Schizosaccharomyces pombe: one gene and its partner. The protein of the gene in region 2 purifies or fractionates together with the protein of the main gene of each other region. This does not show direct contact. Each region holds a gene or a part of one and is shown on either strand. Other genes may lie near its edges. The genes, in order: pcf3 and pcf2.

The links.
Region 1: the proteins of pcf2 (region 2) and pcf3 purify together in Schizosaccharomyces pombe (affinity purification with western blotting; 2 studies listed by BioGRID, with this or other methods). This does not show direct contact.

The regions. Positions count from the first base shown.
Region 1 is NC_003424.3:2,529,102-2,533,033, reverse strand, and holds pcf3 (CAF assembly factor complex subunit B Pcf3), read right to left. Parts: upstream 1,751-3,932; 5' UTR 1,582-1,750; coding exon 355-1,581; 3' UTR 157-354; downstream 1-156. Other genes in the region: atp19 (F0-ATPase subunit K), read left to right, coding at 1-43, 106-130; protein meu29, read right to left, coding at 2,243-2,896; mug105 (ubiquitin-fold modifier-specific protease), read right to left, coding at 3,215-3,932.
Region 2 is NC_003424.3:4,117,988-4,121,919, reverse strand, and holds pcf2 (CAF assembly factor complex subunit B Pcf2), read right to left. Parts: upstream 2,047-3,932; 5' UTR 2,022-2,046; coding exon 1,890-2,021; exon of another isoform or gene 1,795-1,889; coding exon 1,692-1,794; exon of another isoform or gene 1,651-1,691; coding exon 1,408-1,650; exon of another isoform or gene 1,343-1,407; coding exon 282-1,342; 3' UTR 46-281; downstream 1-45. Other genes in the region: mgs1 (DNA replication ATPase), read left to right, coding at 2,947-3,538, 3,582-3,612, 3,658-3,675, 3,720-3,932. UniProt on the Schizosaccharomyces pombe protein: Acts as a component of the histone chaperone complex chromatin assembly factor 1 (CAF-1), which assembles histone octamers onto DNA during replication and repair.

The DNA of each region.
Region 1 (3,932 bases), 1.6 Mb from region 2:
CTCCTTTGAATGCCAAAAGCAAAGAAGAAGAAGAATTCATTTTGTAAGTAAAGCTATTGCTCTATAGCGAGTGTTTGGAATATATTTACTAATACTACTTTATAGGAAATACATTGAAGAACATAAGTAGGAAATCCTTGATTACCGAACGGACGATTAGTGAGTGAAAAATTATCTTTTCATTAGTAATGAAATATCTCTATGTCATTAGGTAATTTTAATGTACACGTTGAGCAAATTTGAAGATGAATGAATACAATATAGCCCTGCAACATACCCATCAAAATTGCAATTAATTAATTGCTGTATAACTTAAAACTTTGTATTACCTCGTGTGATGGATGTAAGTATTTATTAATTAACAATAACATTGGGCTTCCAAATGTGTAATTCATTGTCATCAGCAACCGAAGCAATACATTGTGCCTCAAACGGATCAAAGTCCACTTCATTCACCGTACCTTTATGACCTGCATGCACAAACTCCAAAGGATTAGCTTTGTTAAAATTCCACACATAGCAATACTCTTGGCAGGCACTAACAATCCGACCAGAGTGTCTCCAGCTCCATGACAAACTGGTGCCTCCTAGAGTTAGTCTAGAAGGCACTTTTAATCTATTATCTGATAAGTCTTCAGAAGTGTTAAAAACCGATTTATTTAAGTTCCGAAGGTCCCAAAGCTGTAAATCTTGCTCAGACCCCAAAGCAAACAAAGTCGCAATTGAAGGATTATGTCTGACGCTAAAAAGGGGATTTGAAGCTTTAACTGTTTTCGAACATGTTTGTTGAAGTCGGTTATCACAAATAAAGGCAATTCCATTATCATTTACAGCAATATATAAGTTGGTGTGGTGCGGATGATATTCAACATCATTAACCGGAGAATCATCATAATGAAAATCCTTTACGGGAGTTAAGCACCTCGTATCACGGCTAAAATTATTTAGATCCCATTCTAAAATTTTCGAATCATTAGCAGCTGTTACAAGTCGGCAATTTTGCTGACGATTCCAAGATAGTCCAAACCCTTCTTTTTTGTGCCCAATCAAAGAGATATTTGGTAAAAATTCTTCAGCGGGCATTGAAGTATATTTTGTCCGATCAAATATATATGCATTTCCACAAGAGCTCATAGTAGCTATGATGTTTGGGTTTTGAGGCATGTGTCGAACACGATTTACATCGCCATTATGAAGAATTCGTTGCGAGATTTGGAACTTGCAAGAATGTTGCATACTATAGCCTCCTAGCTCACCAGTATCTTCATTGTAGTGTTTTACTGGATCCAATATAGTTTGATTGAAATCAGGTAAATCTAAATCTGCAAGCTGCAAGAAATTTGGCATCCCTTCAGCGGCATGAGTCCCTAGGAGAAGACGGTTTTTTAAAACCGCTTTTTCAGTGATCGATTCCATTGCTGAGAGCCATTGGATACTTAAAGAGGGCCATGTTAAAGTACGGGTTATTAGTAAGTTGTATAGATGTTTCGAATTTTTTTTCCAACGAAAATGATCCTCACTAATCTGATTCTCTAGAAACTTAATATGTTCGAAATTCTGCATATCCAGTTCGGTGTTCATTTTTGCATACTTTAACAAATTTTTAACAATTTGAGTTTAAACCACCTCTACCACCTCAAAAGAATGCAAGTGATTTTACTTTTAGAGAATGAGTTAAACTAAAATATCTGTCTATAAGCCACTATTTGCCATCAATATGTAAGAAAGTTTTGTTGGAAGGTATGTACATGGAAGGTTGAACCTACAACGTCGGTAGACGAAGCGCTTAGTACGAAATATGGATTACCATATACAGCTGAACAAATAAATGAAAAAAGAAACAATTTTATATCAAGAAGTTATATAATACTATGAATGATCTGCTATGCCAATATTGATTTTTAATATAGCTGTTTTCCATTATTATATTTTAAAGTGTATTTTCTCTAACTGTAAGTTAAAGAAGCAAACGAAAGTGGACAGAGAATATGATGGTAATAATGCAAGAATATTACTAAATAGAATGCAGAAATCTAACGATTATTAGCCGTGGGGATGACAGCGCTCGATTTCAATTAGGAGGCATTCATTAATGAGTGATTAATAAGGGAATGAACTTGTAATATATGTAACAGAGGTGCGATTTCAACTGTTGTTTGCCTATTCTGAGAGTTAGACTGTCATCCATTTAAGATATGTGATACTACGTGGAAGCTAAACACGAGGATTCAAATGCAAAGTATTAAACAGATTCATCCAACACGGGTACAGGAACTCTCTGTTTGACATTGGAGAAAAGCTGTATGCCATTAGATAACTGCTCCTCTACAGCAGAAACCGCCAACTCCATAAATTTCTGTTCATTCCATCTTCTGTTATCATGGAAACGAGATCTAGGTGTTCCCAAATAACCAAGCATACGGAAACAGGCAGTTGCCAGATATGAAGCCGCAAGGAGGAGCACAAACGCAGCAGTGAATGGCTTTAATGAAAACAATTTCCAAGGCCTATGTAGTAATACTCCAGAGTAGGTCCATTCCAACTTATAGTTTAAAATGCATGTCTTAGTAATGCTGTCCATGGACAAGGCGACGGTTTTTTTGCACTCAATATTATAATCTATTACTTCTACATGAGAAGACTGATTAGGCCATACACAAGTCCATTTTAATAAATGAGGAGCAACGTTAAGTTGGTTATGCTGACAAATAGCCAAATCATTGCTGTGCGAGCTACACGCTGGTCCTTTGCAATGAAGCCGTGGTCCATCATCAACGTTGGAGGATTCAGAACTAAATTTTAATGCTTGAATTCTGTCCAGAGAATAAGTATATGCATAAGTATTTCCAATAAATAATGCAAAGAATAATAATACAGCAGTCTTGACAACAAACATTGTGCAAGGCTGGTAGTTGTTTACTTTTGGTAACAACTTTAGCCTTTATCCACATTCGGAAGCCAAAGTCGGATATACCGATGTAAACACCGAATTCACCGCAAAACAACAAATTTTAAATTCAATAACAATGTCGCTATATGAAAATATGAGAAACTATCAACAATTTTAAATATACGTATACTACATAGTAGTAAGTCAAAAGAGAATAATCAGATATATTATTATTTTTCAACAGTTTTTCCTTTTTCTATAAATTAATATATGGGGAAACGGCCTTCATAAATATTATGAAAAACATCACCAGCGCTTGGACAGCTAAAAGTCCGAAATTCTGGTAGAACGAACTTCCAGTTTTGAACTGAAATCATTTAAAAAAATGTTTTGCTTAAAATGTACCAATTGAAATTGTGAGAATTTCAAAGATCGCTTTTTTCGCATATAACAGTGATTAAAGTCCGCAATATTCACAAACTTTTTTTGAACACTCTGATAACGATCTGGATCAAGCACAACAAGAGTTTCTAAAGAAGAACAGAACCCAATGATAATGATAGAATGCCCTTGAAATTGTAAATAACATGGAGAAACATTGCTTGTATCATTAGAACTTTCAAAATGTTTTTTAACGTAAAGAAAAAGTGCATTGCTAGCAGAAGCTTCAGATCTGAAATCAAAGTCTACTAAAGCGACGTTGACAAACAACCCGGTAAATAGGCTATAAACCTCAGTAGCACCAATCCATTTACCATGCAAGTTGTCTCCTAATTGAGCATAACCTTCGGCATCTATACCTTTCATCCAAGCGCTGAGCAACAACGATTGCAAAGAATTGATTTCATAATTTCCACTACTAAAATTACGTTTAAACCAATTTGGATTGGTGTATTGAAGCCAGGAAATTAACATCTGTATATTGCGCCAACCACAGCCCCATCCACGATCAATACCGGTAACTGTGAAAAAATAATCGATGTCACCATCTGCTAATGAGCATCCATCTATGCCGAAATGCTGAAGTTGTCGTTTAAGCTGC
Region 2 (3,932 bases):
AGTTTTATAGTCTTAAGTAGACAAAAAGTACAAACGATTAGAAGTATTATTTGCTTTTTATATATTTATCTTAACAATTGTAATGAATTTAATTGTGCTTATATCTAAGCAAATTACCGAATGATTACATCCAAAGTAGAATGTACAGTTTTGCCTTCTTTTTTTTTTTTAAAAAAATAAAAGGTTCTTTAAAGTTACTAGTACAAAACAAGAAGTACGAGATTTTTACTCCAAAAATCAAAGCGTATTGTCGAAGTAGAACTTTTTTCATAAACATGAAATTATGGATAAACGGGGGTAGGTGCAATACGCTTCTTTGATACTTTTGAAGATTCAACTTTTCTGGGAATTAGTGTTGTAGTAGCTGGTCCCCCAGCCGTATTGTCTTGTGAATCATCAATACTAGAGGGTGAAGCTGATCGTTTCTCCGGCAAAGAAATTTTGTGTTGACTTTTGACACCCAATTCTCCAGGTTCAAAGGTAATTACAGAACAAAAACCATCTATAGAAGTCATTAACAAAACATTTCCATCATCATTCCAAGCTATGTCTGTAAGGTTAGAGTAATGTAAATTTACTGCACGATAAAATGGTTTGCAAGTTTGCGTATCATAAATATAAACAGCATCTTGACATGCCACAGCAAATACCATTCGATAAGGAAGATTAAAAGAGACAGAAGTAAAAGAGAAGTTAGAGAATGAGTTCAATTCATAATGAATTGGAGAAAAACGAACCGCAATAACTGGTTTTTTGAATCCATTAAGACAAGCTACTGGCTGTTTGGTTATACTCCCTCTTGTATAAATATAAGCAGTATAGGGAACTTCAAAGTTTGGTTGACCGTGCGGTCGAAGCCGACCAGCAGGCGTAACTAGTAGTAATCCGTCAGGGGAGAATGCTGGACGACGAAAAAAAGAAACAAGAGTTTCATTGCAGTACAAAGAGTAACTGATTTTTGAATTGAGAGAATTTGGAGGCTCTGTTCGCTCTAAGCTTCCATCTTTGACTATGTTTGCAGTTGATGAGAGAGCTTCGTGCTTAGATACGGGAGACTCATTATTATTAGAAGTTTCGATAGGTTCTGATATCCCCGATGATTCATCATTATTTAAGGGCTTCGTAACAGATATTAATTCGAATTTAGTTACATTATACTCAATACGACAGATGCGCGATTTTAAAACGAGTTGGAATTTTTTCGGATTCTTTTTTTCCTCTTGAATTTCGTATAAACATATAGAACGATCACTACTTTCCGAAACGATGTATTGATTCAAAGGATCCCAACATACCCCTTGAACGTAATGTGAATGGTCGAATTTTTGAGTAAGCAGTTGCCCTTCTTAGTCAGTAATTTTAATTTAAAAAAAAATATTGCCAATAACAACAACTGCCAATTCATACCTGTGTGAGCATCGTACAACCGAAGACTATTATCCATGGCGCCGGCAATAAGAAAATTACTGTCAACCGACCAGCATAAATCATATATTTCTGAACCCATCGACCTACAAACTATTTTGACCTTCCAATATTCTTTAGCTAGAGCCAACTCTTCCGCATCATCAGCCAAAGTTGTTATAGGAGTGTTAGTTGGAACCCATAACATAATAGTTCCTTCATCTCCGGCGGTAGCAAGAATATTTCCTATTTTAATGTGAGCATTGGAAAAAATTATTAGCGAATACCTTCTGGATTGAAACGAACGACGTTCACTGCTTGCGTGTGTCGACTTAACGTAGACAAATATTCGACTTTTGTGGATGATTCCGAAGTGATCAATTGCCATATCTGGATATTAGTATAATTGAAGGAATTTTCTTTCTTTTTTTTAAACTACAACAAACAATAGTTGAAGCAAAAATAGTTTTATGTCAAATCATTACCCTGATTTTACTGTCTCCTCCACATGTAGCAAATTTATTAAGACTGTTCTTTTGAAAATCAACTGAATAAATAGGTGTGTGATCATCATTAGCATCATAATGCCATCGTATCTGCAAAACCTCCGCTCTCATGTTCCTCTTCGTCGTTAGTGCTCTAGGATCGCTTCGCACAATTTTTCTAATAGTAATTTCGTGAGTACGGAACTAACGTGTATATTATTTAGAGTTCAAAGAGAATTTTTTATGAACTCTCTAATATTGTTGTTATTTCTATTATTTGTCAATTTGCTTTGGGTTCAATGTTCAAGCAGCATTAGTAGTTGGAGGAAAAATTTTGAATTATATGCTGAGTGCCCGTTATACTCTATTTTTTTTTATCTATTTAAAGCCCTTTAGTTTGCACAATAGTCTTCTTATTAGCCGTGCGATTACTATGTTTAGTGTTAGGTAAGTTTATAAGGTTCGATTTCTTATAAATATTATGGACTTTCACAGTTGAAATTGCATCCTTTCCCCTTGGTTTAAAAACAGAGTATTTCATATAATAGAGTACAAAATTTGAGGGTTTAAAACGCGTAGTTTACAAGTCTTGGATCAACATCATTTTGGTTTTTAGACATTTTATTATCTTCCATAGACTCATCATTTCTATTGTTTTTTTTTTAATATCTTATCATTTAGGCGGTGAAATTGCGTATAAAAACTGTCAACTATAATAACACATATGAATTTAAAATCTAACTTTTTCTTGTAAGTAATATTTTTAGCTTAAACAAATACTTTGATATTATTATAACCTCTTACTTCATCGTATAATTCCCTAACTACACGCGACGACTTGGTTCACGGTTTTGTACAATCGATGCCGTTCAGCTCTGTTATATTGCTGTTGAGAGTGTCATAAACAACAAGCAATTTTGATGATCAAAATTCCTTAAACGTTACTTTTTTTTGTAAACTTTCTTGCCAAAGGTCGCTCATTTGTATGTGTTATTGTTTCATTCCAGATTTATCTGTTTACCTTTCGTACCACATACTTTTATCTATGTAAATCAGAATGTCAGGACCAGATCATGTTCAATGTCCTGTTTGCGCGAAAACAGTTACGATGAATGACATTAATCCACACCTTGATTCACATTATTCGGACTCATCAGGCCCTTCGAAACCTGTTTCACCCTTTTTTAAAAAGGAACGCTATAAACATCATTTAGAAACAAATGTCTCATCTCACCAGAGCGCTACAAAATTTATAGAGCCTGAACCCAGCCCTACAAAGAAAACTAAACTTACAAGACGGGATACACGACCACTGGCGGAACGAGCAAGACCCAAATCACTAGATGAATATGTTGGTCAGGAAGAGCTGGTTGGTGAGCGAGGCATCATTCGTAATCTGATTGAACAAGATAGGTGCAATTCCATGATTTTATGGGGTAGTGCTGGAACTGGAAAGACTACGCTTGCTAGACTAATTGCCGTTACAACAAAATCAAGGTTCATAGAAATTTCTGCGACTTCGACGACTGTTGCTGATTGTCGTAAAATCTTTGAAGACTCACAAAATTATCTCACCTTGACAGGAAGAAAGACTATTATTTTCTTGGACGAAGTACATCGTTTCAACCGTGCGCAACAGGATATATTTTGTAAGTTTGATATTTTTTTATCTCTTCAATTAACCATGACTAGTGCCAATGGTTGAAAAGGGTCTAGTTACTCTGTAAGTGATGCATTCTAATATCACAAATGCTAACCTTTGAATTAGGATCGGCGCAACAACTGAGTATGTTTAAACACTAATGTTTTCCACCATGATTAACATTGTAGAAATCCTTCTTTCCGACTAAATTCTGCTCTCATTAGCAGATGCCCCGTTTTTGTGCTTAAGAAACTAACGCGTGATAATGTTAAGAAAATATTAAACCATGCTTGCTTACTGGAAAGTGAGCGACTAGGATCTTCTATGCCCAACGTTGAAACATCTATTATTGATTACATATCTGCTATTACAGACGGAGATGCTAGAATGGCCTTAAATGC